Linked DNA regions of Drosophila melanogaster. The protein of the gene in region 1 interacts with the protein of each later gene in a pairwise test. Each region holds a gene or a part of one and is shown in the gene's direction. Other genes may lie near its edges.

What was found.
Region 2: the proteins of CG8064 (region 1) and CG6380 interact in a two-hybrid assay, tested with the Drosophila melanogaster proteins (one large-scale study listed by BioGRID).

What each region holds. Positions count from the first base shown.
Region 1 is NT_033777.3:18,281,729-18,287,271, forward strand, and holds CG8064 (uncharacterized protein), read left to right. Parts: upstream 1-1,931; 5' UTR 1,932-2,005; coding exon 2,006-2,163; intron 2,164-2,227; coding exon 2,228-4,838; 3' UTR 4,839-4,896; downstream 4,897-5,543. Other genes in the region: eIF1A (eukaryotic translation initiation factor 1A), read left to right, coding at 1-208; CG14312 (uncharacterized protein), read right to left, coding at 1,343-1,629, 1,687-1,726; CG7131 (uncharacterized protein), read right to left, coding at 5,237-5,292, 5,354-5,543.
Region 2 is NT_033779.5:17,290,409-17,294,283, reverse strand, and holds CG6380 (uncharacterized protein), read left to right. Parts: upstream 1-2,081; 5' UTR 2,082-2,175; coding exon 2,176-3,057; 3' UTR 3,058-3,209; downstream 3,210-3,875.

The sequences.
Region 1 (5,543 bases):
CTTGCGTGACTACCAGGACTCGAAGGCTGATGTGATCCTCAAATACACACCGGACGAGGCCAGGAACCTGAAGACGTACGGCGAGTTCCCCGAGTCGGTGCGCATCAACGAGACAGTCACATTCGTGGAGGATGGCTTCGACGAGGACATCGAGTTCGGCGATGAGATCAGCTCCGAGGATGACGCCGACTCCGTGGACAACATCTGATTAACAAGAAACAAAGTGGCGCCGGGTGGGACGACGACGACGGCGGGAGCGTCTGGAACGTCTGTCTCGGCAGCAGCACCAGCAGAAGCGGAATCAGTTCGAGAATAGTAGGGAATTTAATCAATTGTAAAAAGCAGAAAGCCGGTAGCCCCGAGTCCTGTTCGAAGTCATAGCCAACATCCAATCTAATCCAATCCTAAACATTTATCCGGCATCCACAAAGCGGCGCAGCGGCAGTTAAATTGCGAAACCAAACCTATAGTATCAGTTCATTTATAGCCATTTTTAATGTTCTAATCTACTCTGAAATTGTTTTATTCCGAAAATCCAAATTGAAACGGTTTGATTTATGGCCGCCTTAAACAACAAATTATTAATTACAAATAGTAGAACTGTTACGCTGTGCAAGAAATGGAACATTGCGAAACATAAACTAATAATATTTGAATTAAAAACGAAAAAACAAAGAAAAACAAACGGATATTAGTTATTATTTATCTACCAACAAATCTATCCAACTAAATGAAAAAGTAAAAAAAAAAAATAAAAAACATAACGATATATTAATGAAATCTACAACTCATACACATAAAATAGGAGTTTAGCGAACACTAATATTTAAGGCAAAAGGATATATAATAATAATGATCAAAAGGCGAGATGTGAGGTTAGCTAGCGAGTAAGCAAAATCAAATCCATGAGTTTTCGCCAGATATATCTGCGCCCCATCCCCCCAAGTGTTCCTTTTCAGCGTTTCGTGTCATGTCTTTTGTTTTTATTATACACCTGCGTTATATTTTGATGGTTTTCCATATAGCAATATCCAAATCATTTTCCAAACGCCCCATTTTCTTTTTTGCTGTCCATGCATTCAGTTTTCCCTTTTCAGTTTAGTTGTAGTCTAATTCGAACCAAACAAAAAACAATGGATGTGTAAAAAGTGATGAGACTATTGATTTTTGTAATGAGTTGAACTCCAATAAATGGCGTTGATTAACCCGAATGCAAAACAGCACACGTTCCAAGGCTTTTTCACTTTTTGATAGTAAAATTCATGCTACAATTTATTATTAAATGCAGAAACTCGTACATAATTGTGTGTAAGCGGAAAACCGCCATCGAATTTGGCATCGTTTACAGCTCCTCGTGGCGCGAAGGGAACTTCTTGAGTATGGCATGGTAGAGACTGTAGAAGGCGTACACCGAAACCGTGATGATCACCAGCAGAGCTCCGCCGAACGCGATGCTCAGGAAGTTTCCATCGATGATGCCCGCCGAGCGGTGGCGCTTGGTGGAGAATATCTCCTCCGTGGTCGCCGGGTTGTTTTGCTGCTGGGACGTCCGCTCGGCCATCAGCCGCTTCATGGTGCTCAGCCGCTCCCGCAGAACTTCCACGGACTCGGTGTCCAGGTCAGAGGTTCCTAGAGCGATTTTGTTTACTTTCTGTTCTCATTAAAATGAATATATGTTATTAATACCTGTCGACTGGGATGCGGAAGCACTGGGATAGGTAGACATATTTGGATCTCTGTTCTGTGCTATTTGTGAAAAAACTGCAGCTTGAGCTGGCCAAAAACAGAGTTATCTTAAACGTTTTGGGGTGGGTTTGTTAGATTTTCGAGTTTTAAAAGCGCAGGCGCGTAACGGAAATCGCGCGGCGTTGCCACCCAATCGCGCTGCCAACTGCTTTGATTTGCGAAGAACAAATCGATAGAAACGGCTGGCAATCGATTGGGAACCATCTCCAAACACGTGAAACGCGATTTTTGATTTACCTTATGTGTTTTGAATGCTGCAATGGGTTTAACTAAACAATATTTGGCCTACCGGGCTATAGACAGCTTTAATATCATCACCTCCGGCCGCGCCAATGTGAACTTTGCCGTTGTGGACAAGACAGAGGGTCGATATGTGGCCGCTCCAGCTGCTGAAAATGTGATCGTGTGGGATTTGCGGTAAGGCTATTTAAGCTTTTCCTTTACTTCGTTTTTAAACTGACATGAATTTATATTTCCCCAGAATGGGCGATCGCAAGCTGACGCTGCGCCGCGAAAAGTTCGAGGTCACCTCCCTGAGGGTCTCGCCAGATCACCTGCACATTGCCGTTGGCTATGCGGATGGCATGGTGCAGATCTTCGATCTCAGCTCGGACAGGTACTACGATCCCATCTGTACGCTGGCACTCCACAAGAACGCTGTTAGCATCCTGCGGTACGATTTGCAGGGCATGCGTCTGGTGAGCGGAGGCCTGGACACCGAATTGGTGGTCGTCGATGTGGTGGAGCAGGCGGGAAGAGCTCGATTGAGTGGCCACAATGCCGCCATCACGGACGCCCATTTCCTGCAGCGTCTGGTAGACGAGAGCATAGTGGTAAGCTGTTCGAAGGACACGCAGATCAAGTTCTGGAACCTGGAGACGCAGTTCTGCTTCAAGACAATCGTGGATAACCGCACCGAAGTCTGGGCACTGGCCTTTATTGGGAATCTAATGGTAGCTGGCGCCGGCGAAAGCGGCATGAATGTCTACCGCCTGAGAAAGCACGACGGTGCCATCACTGAAACTCTGGAGTCTGCAGTTGAAGGCCTGTCTATTGATGACGAGGACACCATCAGCCCCATTAGCGTGAGCAACTGCGGCACCATCCAGCGCGCTGGAAAGGGCCGCACCGTCAACCTGGTGACCGATCCCAGTGAACGCGTGATCAGCTGCCACGGCACTAATGATCTAATCGAGAACTTCTACATCTGCACGCCGGACGAGGTAAAGAAACGACTGGCTAAGCGTCTAAAGAAGGAGAAAAAGGTCGCCGAAGATGAGGGATCAGACGAAGCAAAACTGTCCACGGAACAATCGCTGAGCGATGAAATCAAGCGACTGGAAAGCATTCGTGCCAAGCAAAAGATCAAGTCCATAGATGTGGTTTTGGGCCAGAACCAGGAGCTGCGTGTCCTTGTTAGTTTGGCCAACAACAGTCTGTGCTTGTACTCGCTGGAGGCGTCTATCAAAACGCGCAAAGCAACCGATCCCAGCGCGAAACTACTTAGGTCACTTACTCGTCTGGGGCACCAGTCCGAAGTGCGATCCGTATGCTTCAGCAACGATTCCCTGGCCATTGGTTCCGGAGCTGGAGAATCCTTTAAGTTCTGGGATCGAGATGCCATGCAGTGCCTGCGTACTGTGCCAACGGACTACATCCTCTGTTCGAAGTTTGTTCCCGGCGATCGCTACGTCCTTCTGGGCATGAAGAGTGGCAAATTGCTCATTGTGGACGTGGCAGCGGCTGATATAGTGGAGGAGATTCCGGCTCACGAAGGCGAACTTTGGTCCATTGCCATACTGCCCGATCAAAAGGGTTGCGTCACTGGCAGCGGCGATACCACGGTTAAGATCTGGACATTCGAGCTGATCGATGCCGGCGAGGGTGCTGCCCAAACCAAGGTGCTGTCCCTGCTGCACAAAAACACACTGAAGCTGGAGGAGACCGTGCTCTGTTTGGCCGTTAGTCCGGACATGAAGTACCTGGCTGTGGGCTTGTTGGACGCCACCGTGAAGGTTTTCTTCCTGGACACCTTTAAGTTCTACCTATCACTGTACGGCCACAAGTTACCTGTGATCTGCCTGGACATCTCCTACGACTCCAATCTCATTGTAACAGGATCAGCAGATCGTAACGTAAAAGTTTGGGGCTTAAATTTCGGAGACTGTCATCGTTCCATTTTTGCACACGACGATTCGGTAATGAGTGTACAGTTTATACCCAGGACGCACATGTTCTTCACGTGTGGAAAGGATGGAAAGGTGAAGCAGTGGGATGGCGATAACTTCGAGAAGATTCTTACCTTACCTGGACACATAGGCGAAGCGTATTGTCTGTCCGTTTCTCCGAATGGCCGATATTTGGTCACCTGCGGATCAGATCGAACTCTTAGAATGTTCGAGCGAACAGATGAGACTATTGTGTTGAAGGATGTGCAGGAGGAGGAGCGAGAGCAAATGGAGAATGAGCAACTGGCCACGGGCGAGGACAACACAGTTCCCTTGCTTCCGGGTCTGAAGATGCCGTCACGCAAAACAGTGGGTTCCGAGCAGTCTGCTGAATCGATACTCGAATGTCTGGAGATATCCAAACAGTTCGAGCTCGAGGCGGAGGAGAAACCCGAGTTACATCCTCTGATGCAGGCTTTGCAGGTTAAGAATCCCGAAGACTTCCTGGTCAGCACCCTGATGAGGATACGTGCGTCCGATCTGGAGGAGGCACTTCTTCTACTCCCCTTCTCCACTGTGTGCGAAGTCCTCGAACGCCTGCCCACTCTGCTGACCCAGCGACCCGACCAACTGGAGCTGCTTTGCCGCGTCACCATCTTCCTGTTCAAGGTGCACATGAAGCCCATTTCGGCGGCTAAGAACATGAAGCCGCTGCTCGTCAAGCTGCTCTCGATGCTCAAGCGGGACGTTGGTCAGCTGCGCGATGTCTTAGGATGGAACCTGCACGGTCTGGCCCTGCTGCAAACGGAAGTGGAGCAGCGCGATGGTGTCCAGCTCTTCAGGGAGGCCACACAGACCCGCAAGAAACGGGATAAGAAGCGGAGAGAAGCCAGCAAGCGGAGGCTGCAGATTCAAATGGTTTGAGACGCAATACCCTAGACTTAGTTGTATAAATCCAATTAAAACGATTAGTTATTCCGTGATTTACTGGATTTCTATATTTCTGTGAACAGAGTTTAATTTGACAATGAGGAATACACCATAATTCATAAGCCATGTATTGGATCACCGGCAATTTTCTGTATATGCATATGGGATTGACAAAATCGGATAAAAGCGATGGTGCAGCGAAGCAAACGGATAGCGCCGCTCGATTAATGGATGCAGTTCGCAAAGCGAACCCTTTGACAAGCATTTACAACAGAAAACAACATATCTCTTTAGAAGACGTGGACTGAAAGATTTAGCTTGAACATAAAACGTAGAACTCGGGATGAGCTTGGGAGACGGATTCTTCAGAGCAACCATAATGTATTTCCAGGCTAACAAATGCCGGCTTTGGGAAAGGTGCCATCGTTAGCGCCAGTTCCACAAGGACCTGTTTGGGATTATGCATTTTTTTTTATAAATGCTAGGAAGTAAATCTGGTGATAACCTACCTCCGCAGCGCTGGAAGGCACCTGGCGGTCCGTAGCTAAGTTTCTGGATGGTACACTTCTCAATAGGTCCGGTTGGCCGGCAGTAGGATGTGTACCTGGCCCACGGCAGTGGCTCCTTGGGCGGCACACAGTTCGGCAAGTAGCTGAGTTTGTATGTGGTGCACTTTTCCATGGGTCCCTCGTTCCGGCA
Region 2 (3,875 bases), on another chromosome or scaffold:
CACTGTATGCCGAATGTGTGGGGCGTTTCGATGCAACTTCTTGCGGAAACGGATGTTGCATTGCATAGCGGAAGACGAGAGCCGAAAGAGTCGAGGAAAATTTATGATTTTGCCATAAAATCCTGTTGATATGTGGATGCAAGGAAGGCTCCTTGCCCACGTTCGATTTTCTCACCTCACAGCTGTTATTTATGCGCATATGTATGCGGCGCGTTGCACGTAGAATTTGCACAGACAGAGCCTCGGATACGGATACTCAGATACTCGGATACACACACATATACGCAGACACTCGAACACAGATACACAGTTGCGGATACGCAATGCACACATCCTGCCGGCACTGCACATTGTTGCGATTGATGCACATAAGAAATGCAATCGGGGCAACTGCAATTTCGTAAATCGAAGGAAAAATTTCCTAGCCGCATCAACATCGCATTTCGTCTCCGACAGAGAGGCAATCAAACATGGCAGGAAAACTGCAGCTGAAAAACAGTTGTTGACTGTTTGCCGGCATCGCCTATATCTCCATCATCATGATGTTGATGATCATCATCATCTTCACCTCGCAACAGGACACAACATCGCAACGTCATCATCGCGTGGAGGAACAAGTGAAGGAGGACATATCCTCGTCATCGTCACTTTTATGCTGCTGTTTTGTCGCATCCACTGTGCTTATAAGCATCCGCTCGTCACATGCGTGCAAGCGTATCGGGGATCTACACAGCGAGAAAACGGATTTAGCTTATAATTTTTAGTAATATACATTTTGAATAATATATACCTAATTAGTCATTCCATCAGATAAACGGAAACTGATAATATTGTCTCTCCCCTTAAAATATATTAATATTAATATAAAAATATTAAAGGCATCGTGCTTTAATATTTTTACGCATTTTTTCTCGCGGTGTCTGGGCTCGTATCTGAACGTACTCCGGCAAAGGCTTGTTTATTTGCTGGCAAAATTGTGAAATAATGTGCTGCAATCAATTCCCAATACAGCGCTCCGTGACCTCTAGCCCCTCTTCACATGCGGCACTCCCTCACTTTTCCCTTTGGAAAAGCGGGAGAAAGCGGGAAAAACGGTGTGCAGTGAAGTTATTTGAAGTGGCAGCTGCCACAGAGCGAACTGCAACTGCCACAACTGCATTGGTTGCCCCACGCCTCTTATCATCACTTGATTTACCGCCCCCACTTCCCCCATTTTCCACGTTTTCGTCCGTATCGGAGGTAACATGTTTGTGATGAATATGTTTACATCAATAACAAAAACTCCACTATGGCGCATCAATAATGAAGCCTTGCTCTGACTCCGCTTTACAAAACCCCCTATCATTCCATCCAACGGGCGGCAAAACCCCATTTTGAACACGTCAAAATGAGTTTACTTTGTGGTTTCGATGGCTGCGATTGGAAACTGCTCCCGCGGATTATGAAGTATCTCGATTGGAGTACCGAATACATTCATCCACACACAAACACATCGAGTTCTTGACATCCTCAACACAAAAACAACAGTAGCAATGGCAACAGGGATTACTTCGAGATTGCAGCAGGAAAACCACTTGATATTTTGAAAGTGAATCCGTCCACAGTCTGATCGGAGATTTGGTATTATCCGAGATTAGGGGTTGGGTATTTGCTCGATACGGAGACAAGGACTTAATTTATAATTAATAAACATGTTTGGCTTAATTTACCAGAGAATAATGATGGAGTAACAATGAATTTGAAACTCCACTAAGCAGCATTTAAACAACATACGTAAACATACAAATTTAATATGTATGGTAACAATAAATAAAGTAATTTTAAAATCGAATATAAGAAGATAATATGTGACTTGAAGCAGGCATACCTTCTACTACATAATTAGATCCCAATTTAAAATGTTAAACAGAGTAATTTGAGTGCAGAGTTCATAGAGAGATTTATGATAATAAATTAAAAATAAAATAAAAAATTGTACGCGAATGTAATGAAGTTATACAATAATCTTCCAAGAAAAGGAGCCCACGATTTTTATATATTTTTTGACGATGACAATGTATTTTATCAGTTAAATATTATAAGCCATATAGGGCACACACAAGTTTACACTAATACATTTTAGTTCGGTAATTAGTTCCTTTCAAAGGCCAAAACTACACATAGCTACAAACAAGAATGGATGGGGACCAAGTAAAGGGCATCCTGAAGTCGGGAAACAATAGTGCGCAATTTAGCCTGAAGGCAGCCAAATTTGATGAGGTCAACATACTGGCCACGTTCCACCCGGCTGGTAAGGACTACGGCCACATGATCATCGACGAACCAAAGACACCCTTCGTCTTTGAGGAGGATTTGCCAAAGGAGTTGGATACAAATGCCCTGATCGAAAAGTTGAGACACACATCAAAGTCAGAAATGCCGGCATTTGGCATCGAAGGAGACTCAGAAGAATCCTCGGCGGATGAGGACTTTCCCGAGTCTGTAGAGGAAAAAGTGCGTAGAATGGAGTTTGAGAGGCGGCGAAAAGTGCATTACAAGGAGTTCTATTCGGTTCCACTGGCTCGACGTCTTATAGCCGACGAGTTTGCCGAGTTGACCAGTTCAGAGTTTAATATTCACTGCGAAGGGGGAATGGAATCTTGTGAAGCGTGCAGTGAAAACAATCAACTCGACGGCGAAGCAAGCAACTTGACGCAAACAAAATACTCATATTCTGAAAGTCAATCCGAATACAGGATATCAGATCATTCTGAGCCTGAACCAGGTTTCTCCCCCAGCCATCACTGCTACCAAAAACTGAAGGCCGAGCTCTTTAGCAAAGCAGAGCCGGAAGAATTGGCCTCTTTAACGCACTTGCATCGAATGCCATCGGTCAACGATGATGAACCAAGTCGCGAGCCTCGCGTCCCATACCCTTCGGTTGTTCCGACTCAAACCCAAAATCTACATGAACACAAGAGTTCACTGAAAATAACGTCCGAGAAGCCTACTCCTGCTCGTATATGTAAATCCAACCCTGATAATCGTCCTGGCACTTCTAAGAAAGAGACCCGCTGAAATCATTCAGTAGTGTTAAAAATTGCAAAGTTATATTAAAGAAACTTGTAATTATAACAAACCATTGGGGATTAAAACTTGTGTATGCATTTGACAGAAAGTATCTATTACACTACATCTATCTACACTCTTTTGTAGAAGAAGCTTTTAACAAATGTTGCCTAATGGTTTTTACTCAAGGATAAATATCTTTAATTACTCAATCACAAAAATTGTGTCCAATAACTTTCGGTCATTCCACTCCTGTTCGTGCCTCGTCTAAGTTGCTAAGGAAATTATAGGAAAATTCTAAGTACCACTGGCCAGGCTAATTGCTGAGATGTTGATATGATTAACCCACTAACCTTCATTTGCTCCCCATCTATTAATACTTTGCTTCCGAAAGTTCACTGGTCTGGGGAATATTTAATTACGCAATGTCCTAACGGTAATCATCATTCGGCCGAAGCTAGATACAAGGATACACAGCCAGAGTTTAACTTATTTTGGCATTTTGTTTTGTGATTGAAAATTCCTTTTGACAGTCTAGGCAACCGAAGAGTTTTCCTTCCGGCCAATCGCTTTCATTCTGATTTCATGCTCTGGCCATTCCAATTGTGAAGAAAACTGATTTCTGCCCTTTAAGATAATTCCTCGGATATTACAACTGCAGAATCACTTGAAATAATTATGCAAAATGTTTAATTTAGCCATTAAATGCCGTAGCAGTTCAGTTTTATTATTATTAAGCTTCGGTCAATTCGCTTGCAAATGAAAGGACAACACAAAACCGGATGGTGGTTGGGGGAAGTGTCATGAATATTTATGGGGCCATGTTA